Linked DNA regions of Rhinolophus ferrumequinum. The protein of the gene in region 2 purifies or fractionates together with the protein of the main gene of each other region. This does not show direct contact. Links are inferred from orthologs where the notes say so. Each region holds a gene or a part of one and is shown on either strand. Other genes may lie near its edges.

Evidence for each region. The genes of interacting proteins can lie anywhere in the genome.
Region 1: the proteins of DUSP4 (region 2) and MAPK14 purify together in Homo sapiens (affinity purification with mass spectrometry; 3 studies listed by BioGRID and IntAct, with this or other methods). This does not show direct contact. The link is inferred for Rhinolophus ferrumequinum from reciprocal best matches to the Homo sapiens genes DUSP4 and MAPK14.

What each region holds. Positions count from the first base shown.
Region 1 is NC_046286.1:5,992,201-5,995,945, reverse strand, and holds the start of MAPK14 (mitogen-activated protein kinase 14), read right to left. Parts: upstream 2,510-3,745; 5' UTR 2,161-2,509; coding exon 2,045-2,160; intron 1-2,044. UniProt on the Homo sapiens protein: Serine/threonine kinase which acts as an essential component of the MAP kinase signal transduction pathway.
Region 2 is NC_046287.1:68,037,909-68,041,653, forward strand, and holds the start of DUSP4 (dual specificity protein phosphatase 4), read left to right. Parts: upstream 1-818; 5' UTR 819-3,745. UniProt on the Homo sapiens protein: Regulates mitogenic signal transduction by dephosphorylating both Thr and Tyr residues on MAP kinases ERK1 and ERK2.

The DNA of each region.
Region 1 (3,745 bases), on a different chromosome or scaffold from region 2:
CTGCCTCTTGGAAAGACACAAAACAAACTTAACAGTGGCTGTCTCTGAGGAAAGGAATAGCATGGCTGGAGAACAGAAGAAAAGACTTTTCACTGAATATCCTTTTATACCCTCTGAATTTTATACAGTGTAATGTATCAACTATTTTTAAAAACCTGTGTAACAAAATTATTCCAAGTGTCAGAAATTCCTGGCTTCTATAAGCCAGAAAGTATACTAGCACTAAAGAAATGTGGAGTTCACTTGAATGGCACTCCACTGTAAATCTGCATCTTCAATTCCAGTGCAGAGCTACCCACACCAACAGTAGGGAAACCTTGCAAATAGTTCCTTTCAAGTTTGCTCAACTCACCACAGTTGAGCTATTCTCTGCTGTATCACTCATTCCATTCAAATTTAAACACTAGAAACAAAACCTTGGTACTACAAAAATTAATGTATCAATTCAAGAATTAAAAATAAACTAATGAGCTATGAAAGGAGCAATGACCAAATACATCTTTGAAAATTAGCAAATCAATAACACACACACACATACACACACATAGTAAAATGCTGCAAATTCCCTTAAAATGTAGACTGCTGTACTATAAAAATGTGGAAAAGATGTCAAGCATCGTGCCTTAGCAACATAATTCAAGCAGCTTGAACTAGAAAATGCAATATGATCTACTGTGAGACACAATTGCACAATCTCAATTACCCAGAAGATTCTACTGAACAGGAAATTCATGATGTGAGTGTGACTTTAAGAAACAGGGGAATTCTATTTAAAGACTAATATGTTCAAAAGCCTGGAATTTGTTCCAAAACAAAAAGTAATTGTATATAGACCCCTTTCCAATGATGTATGGGTATGAATTTACATGAATCAGTTTCAGATCAGGAGCTCTCAAATTACATTAAATCTAAAATACAGTGAAAAAACCTTGGAAGTTAGAGAAATTAGTGTAATTACTTCAGGTCCGGAAATTTTAAGGTATGAATTTAATGCAAAACACACTCACAGTGCGAATTAAAGCTGAAAAGTGTCTCTTCCTTCCTTTTTTATATATTCCCTATCCTTACGAAAACCACTGTGTCCTCAGGCTATAAATGTAGATAAGTTCCCTGCAAACTCTCTCAGGGACTTTAAAAACACAGTACTATTCACAAGAATTATCGCAATTAAAAAAACATTTACAATACCTCCCACCATTGTTCCTAACTTTTTGATCTTGAGGGCGTCCAACGGATCTGAATCTTACTTGCACCAAATGAGAAAATAGTTTTGTCAAACAATACTTAAATGAGCAGTGGTATGTGACTAATCAGCGAGGCCGCCAGTTTCTCAAGCTGCAGCGTTCTTGCCAGCACTACCACCCACCCCCCACTCTGCGAAAAGGAAATACGCTTTCAACCGAATCGGAAACACACCACTCGAGTTGGCACAGTGCTCACCGAGATAAAGTCGGTATTTTAAGCTCTATGGGTCGCTGCTAATTGAAGTGCGAATTCAAAAAGAACGCTTCTCAAAATGGGATTTCGACAGAGGTTTGCAAAGAAACCAGGACAGAACGCCCTTCGCCGCCAGTTTTGTTCGGTTTACCGCCGTCTCCCGGTCGGGCTTTGCTCTTCTGCTTCTCGGGGCAGCTCCCCGGGTTTGTCTGCTCAGAGGGCAGGCTCCGGAGCCCATGATGGGCGCACCTCCGGAGAGGGTCCTCCCGCTCGACGCCAGCAGGGAGACCCCCAGAAAAAGCCTCCCCCGGAGCAGCAACCCCCAAGAAAGGAATGTGCAGGGTGCGAGCCAGGGCTGAGCTCCAGCACGACCCACCGCCCACCGTGGACCTGCGTCCTGCACACAGCTGACCACCTACCTAGGTGTGTGCAGGGTGAGGGGTGCAAGGGGCACAGGGAGTGCTGGACAGGGGTTGAAGGGGCAGCGATGCCCTCCCCCAAGGAAAATTCCTGCCGCTTGGTGCATCGCTGAGCCGTGGGGGCAGGCCTGGCTCTGGGGCATGCAGGGCCAGCCAGCCACCACAGCCCCAAGCCCAGTGACACTCACCACACGGAGCCATAGGCGCCGGAGCCCACCGGGGACAGGTTCTGATAACGCTCAGGCACCTCCCAGATAGTCTTGTTCAGTTCCTGCCGGTAAAACGTGGGCCTTTCCTGAGACATCTTCCAGCAGCGGCCGCGGGGCGAGGAGGTGGCCCTCCGCGGGCCCCGCCTGCACCCGCACCCGCTCCCTGGCCCTCGTTGCCCGCCGGGTGGGGCTGGGATCCCGCACTGGCCGCACGCGCAGGTGCGGCTGCCGCGACCCCGCCGACTCCCGCGCGCGCTGCCCCTGTCAGCTGCAGCGGCTGGACGCGCCTGCACGACGAGGGCAAGCCCTGCTAAGAGCAGGGGCGCGCTCCGGCGCTCAGGGCTGCGCCGGCCACGCTCTCCCTGCACCCTCTCCGGACCAGGCCGACTCTGGGCTACGCCACGGGACTAGGGCTACAGCAGCTGTGCCCGCTGAGGTTTCAGTGGTCGCCGTTCCAGAGCCAGCGAACAGGAGCCTCCCGCCGTACTCTCGCGAGAACAGCTCCCGAGACTCTACGCGAGCCGAGATTTTACCCAATATGGAACCTACCCACGGGAGGGGCTTGAGGAGGGGAGAGGACGGGAGTAGCAATTCTCGCGAGAAGAGAGCAACAGCTGGAGACCAGAGGCAGGAACTCTCGGGGTATGTTCTTATTAAGGGCGCGAAGGCGGACCGGGGAAAGAGAGAATAAGCAGGCAACACATGCTGCGTGCGCCCCACTGTGGTCGGCGGAGCAACTGCCTGGCTTCGTGGTGAAAAGCGACAGTGACAGATAGGGTGTCGGGGAAAAGAGCCAAAAGATCTTTGAACAGTGGTTAGTTACCAGCAGTAGAGCACCTGCTCAGCGGAATCCCAAATTTCCAAGAAATAACTGCATTTAAAAAGAGAGAGAGAGAGAGATTCTGGCCAAAAAGCCGTAACATTCCCATCTGCTCAAGGACATATGGCTTACTCTTCAGAATTTTGATGAAATCTGTCCCAAAAGCAAATATTAGCCCTTCATTAAGGCTGAGATTTTGCACCCAAACTCTCCTAGTAGTTCTCAAACTTTTATGTGCAAAAGAATCACATTGGGAGTTTAAAAATGCAGATTCCCAGGACACACAAGGAGTCTGATTGGATTAGTCTGTGATGGGCACCAAGAATGTGCAATTTTACAATATGCCTCAGGCATTTCTGATTCAGGGAAGTCTCTGATGCTTTTCCCTTAGAAAAGCATTTTTAAAACCACTACGTTGAGGGTTTGAAATTGACTCCTGACATGAAGAGCTTCCACTGAAGAAGATTTTGAGGATTTAATTCATGCCTCTCAGAGTAAGAAAAGGGCAGAGTAGTCTTCTGACAGTGTCTTCTTAGGCAAGTCAGTGGGCCTTTCTTAGACCTTAGTTCTGCAAAAGAGAATTCCTGTCTTACCTTCCCACCTAGTAGGGTCATTTATCAAGCTGACCAAGATAATAAATGTGATTGGGCAAGTTAGTATAACCCTATCCATATGCTGAAGCTTGTTACAATAAGCAGAAGAGTTGGACCCTATCTTATTCTCATAGTTATTTTGCTTAGAAATAACTAGGTCCAAGCCAGGACAATGTTCTTCACTTCCCGTGACTATTCTCTTTTGTGTTGTGCATCCTTTGGAGTGCTCAGACTTTGCCTGTCTTGTCCCAGCATCTAACACAGTGC
Region 2 (3,745 bases):
GTTCCAGTCGAGAGTGATGAGTAAGGTGCCCTACCTGCTCAGGAAGGAGGAATCCACAGGACCTTTCTTTCCATCACCACCTTGATTAATTCATTAATGATTTTTTCAGGCTAGTTTTTATTCAGGCACTTTGGGACACTGTGAGTCAGAGGTTGGCATCAAAACCAGAATAGAAGCCATTGTCCTCCCTGGGGATCCTACTCTGGGCTTTAAATTCCCAGATCACACAACTTCCTAATTGGAAAGAAATGTTTTTAAACAAGAACATAGGTTTTGCCAGGCCTCACAGTGACTAATAAGGTTGGTCTAAGGACTGTCTGATGAGAGAGTGGATTCACATGTCACAGTGAATTTTTAAAGTATTTTCCCCCCAGAGGTTTACTGCTGAATATAAATAAAATCTCTCTCCTTGGGTAATCCCATCCCAGCTCCTGCAGATATGCCTTCGTTAATTAAATTAACTTTGAAATAACATTCAAACAATGTCTTCCTTCCAAATGCCTTTTTCTCCAAGATCTACTTATTGACAAGCTGTTTCACAAGTTCCTGTGTAAACTGATTGAGTGTCCCATCCCCAGCCTGCATACTAACAGGAGACAAATTTTATCTTCTCTGTAGTCAGTATCGGGTAGCCCACACATTGTATTCATTTAACTGTATACAGAAAGGCCGACAAATTTAAAATAACAACAATTAAAAAATTTAAAAACTAGGTGCTTAAATAGGATCCAGATAAATACAAACTTTAAATCTCATTTGCTGAAATTCACACAGCTGAAGGCAAATTCCTGAGTTCAGGAGAGGACTTTTTTTTTTTTTTTTAATTAGTCTCTTTCAAAAATCAGGCATTCGCGTTCGTAATTAAAGCGGCTCTTGGCTTAAATCCATTCGGTCCGAAGCTGCGGTTCCCCTCCAGGGAGCGGGCGCGCAGGCGCGGGCACGCACACGTGGGCACACAATCGCTCACACGCGCCCGCCCACACCCCCTTCCTTATTCATCGCCAGAGGGATTTACGGGCTTCGCCAGCACGCATTACTGTCAGGTGCAAAAAGCAAGCCTTTCTTCGGTGGGCATTTTCCTCCCCCGGGATTGACTTATTTACGGGCCACGTGAGCGCTGGGTGGGGGTCGGCCCGCCGGGAGGCGACCCCAGCGCAGGGGAGACAAAGGCTGGCAGGACGCGGCCAGCGCGGCCCAAGGACGTCTCCCCAGCTCCTACAACATATGCGAAATTGGCCTGGACCTGCCTCGCCTGAGAGGCTCTTCCAAGCCCTTGTGAAGGCGTCGACGTTTCCCTGGGCAGGGAGAAGTCCCGGCCCCGGGGCCTGGCAGGGGCGGGATTCCTGGTCTGCCCGGGACAGCGGATGAGCCCGGGACGGTCGGGGCATGGGGGGCTCCTTGGAAAGCGCGTTTTCTGGGAGTACCAGGGAGAGCCAGGCTTTAGACAGAACTTCACAGCCACCTCAGCCTATGAGAAACCGGACCCAAGCCCCTTTTGACCTCGGGAGCGAGTACAAACCCGTCCCCACCGGAGAGGCCACGCAATGAGCCTTTGACCGCTGGCTTCCACCCGGAGTGCCCAGCGCCCGAGGTCCCGCCACCCGGAAGCCTCCTTCGATCCGCCGTTGTGGCTCCTTCCAGGGCTGGAACTAGAGTGAGCAGTGCGCCTCGGACGCAAAATTTAAGGAGCACCAAAAAGTCTGCGGTCAAAATAAATAGTATCTTCATGCAATGATTTTTAAGCAATTAAAATTAATGCAAAAAATTGTGATGAACAAAATATTAAATTCTAAATAGGGACACAGGATCACTGCAATACCGTGCTGAGCAATTTTGTAGTCCCAGGTAAAGGAAGATCCCCGGGCGGGGGAGTCGGGTTGCCCTAGGCCTCGGAAGTGGAGGCCCCCTGCGGGCCTCCTAGGGGAGTGGAGGGATGGCCCTGGGGGCCGGAGGTGAGAGCTTAGGCGAGGCGCTCCGCGGAGAACAAAGGCGGAGCGGAAAGCCTAGTTGGAGGCCGGAGAGACCCAGCAGGTTCCGCGACGAATGGTTCCTGGGGCCGGGCTTCCACGCGGACCTGGAGTGGAAGATTCGACCCGCTGCCACCGAGGCCGCGAGCGAGTCCTGCAATACCCCGCTCGTTGATTAATTCTCACTAACAAGACTTGGCAAGATGTCGGGCGAATAATTTTTGGCTTCTGGCGTGTCCCCACCGCGGCGCTTATAAACCCCCAGCCAAAAGCGGCCTCTGGGAAATTAAATGCATAAGTAAAACTGGGGGCGGGGAAGAATGCTACATGACCTGGAAAGCGGGATGCAGAGACCCGAATCGCCCCAGAGCTTATTTCTTTGCGCGTAGATTTCTCAGGGTCTAGCTTCGCACAAAATGTGGACCCTCAGTGTCATTTACTGATAAGACAACTCACAAGTGTGCAGGATGGGGTGGGGACTTTTCCAAAGCCGAAAACGTCGGGTTTTTTTTGTCCCCTAACCCTCTACCCCCGGGTTAAACAAGTATCTTTAGAAAGCGTGGACTGGAGGGGCACCCCAGCCTTTCTCCAGAGGAACAACATTCCGGCAATGAATGCCTCCCTCTGGCTCGTAAAGAGACAGACCCAACACCTCGCTCCCATTACTGGGCTTCGGCGGGAGAGCTTTCTCTTTCATCTTCTAAGTTGGGGCTTGCCCACGTCCTCGGGAAGCTGTAAAGCTGATTTAATGGCTTAAGATGAAAATCGATCACGCTAATGCATAAGCTAACGTCAGAGGAATCGCATTTGAAAAAAACGACTGGCCGGCCGGGCCGAACGCGCTCTGTAAGCTTGGAGCGAGGAGGTCCGAGGCCCTGCTGTCCGGGTAGCCGTGCCACGGTCCCTTCCTCTCCCGAGCCGGGGAGGAGGCCTGCGAGGCCGTTAAAGGTAAAGCACAGAGGTAAAAAGGGATGAAATCTCAAAACCGAGCCCTGGCCTCGGTTAGGTCGGATTCGCGACGAGCTAATTTCTTTTCGCCTAATGCCGCAGCCGGGTGGCATGGCTGCACCGCGACTCGTGCGGAGCAAGACTGGCGCGGCGGAGGCCAGGACCCGCGGGCTGAAGACTAGAGGCGTCGCTGCGCTCCATTCACAAAGTCCGGGAGCGCAGCTCGCCTGCGGGTCGAAGGCCGCCTCCCTCTTCCTCTAGGTCCAGGTTTTATGAATGGGCCTGGCGGCGAGCGCCTAGCTCCCTGTTTACTCCGCTCTTTGTGACGTCTCGTTCCCGTGACTGGGAGCGAGCGCCTGGCACTCCATTCACGCGCCGGGTAGGGGGTGGGAGGAGGGGCCCACTGGGAGGAAGGAGCAGGGATGGGGCGGGGAGCAGGCAAGGGGGGCGGGAGGCGCGAGGTCCCGAATGGAAAGAGGCGGGGCCTCATAAGGTAGTACTGAATCTGCCTCCTCCCGGGAGGGAGCAGAGGAGCGTTAATAAATCTCTAAGCGGAGGAGGAAACTCCGGCTGGGGTAGGGAGCCGAGCTCCGGCTTCTTGTGGGGAACGGCAGCGGAGCCGTAACGCCGGTGCCGTCAGGAGCAGCACAACCGGCCAAATACAAAGAGGCCACATCAGAAGGGAACCCTTGGCCCTTTGCCGTAAACACAGCCCCCTCCACCGCCGACTGCCCCTCGCACCGCGCGCGGTACTGTCTGGCTCCCGAGGCCGCTAGGACTGCTATGTGATTGCCAGACTGCAGGAGGAAGGGGACTGGGGAGAAGAGGGT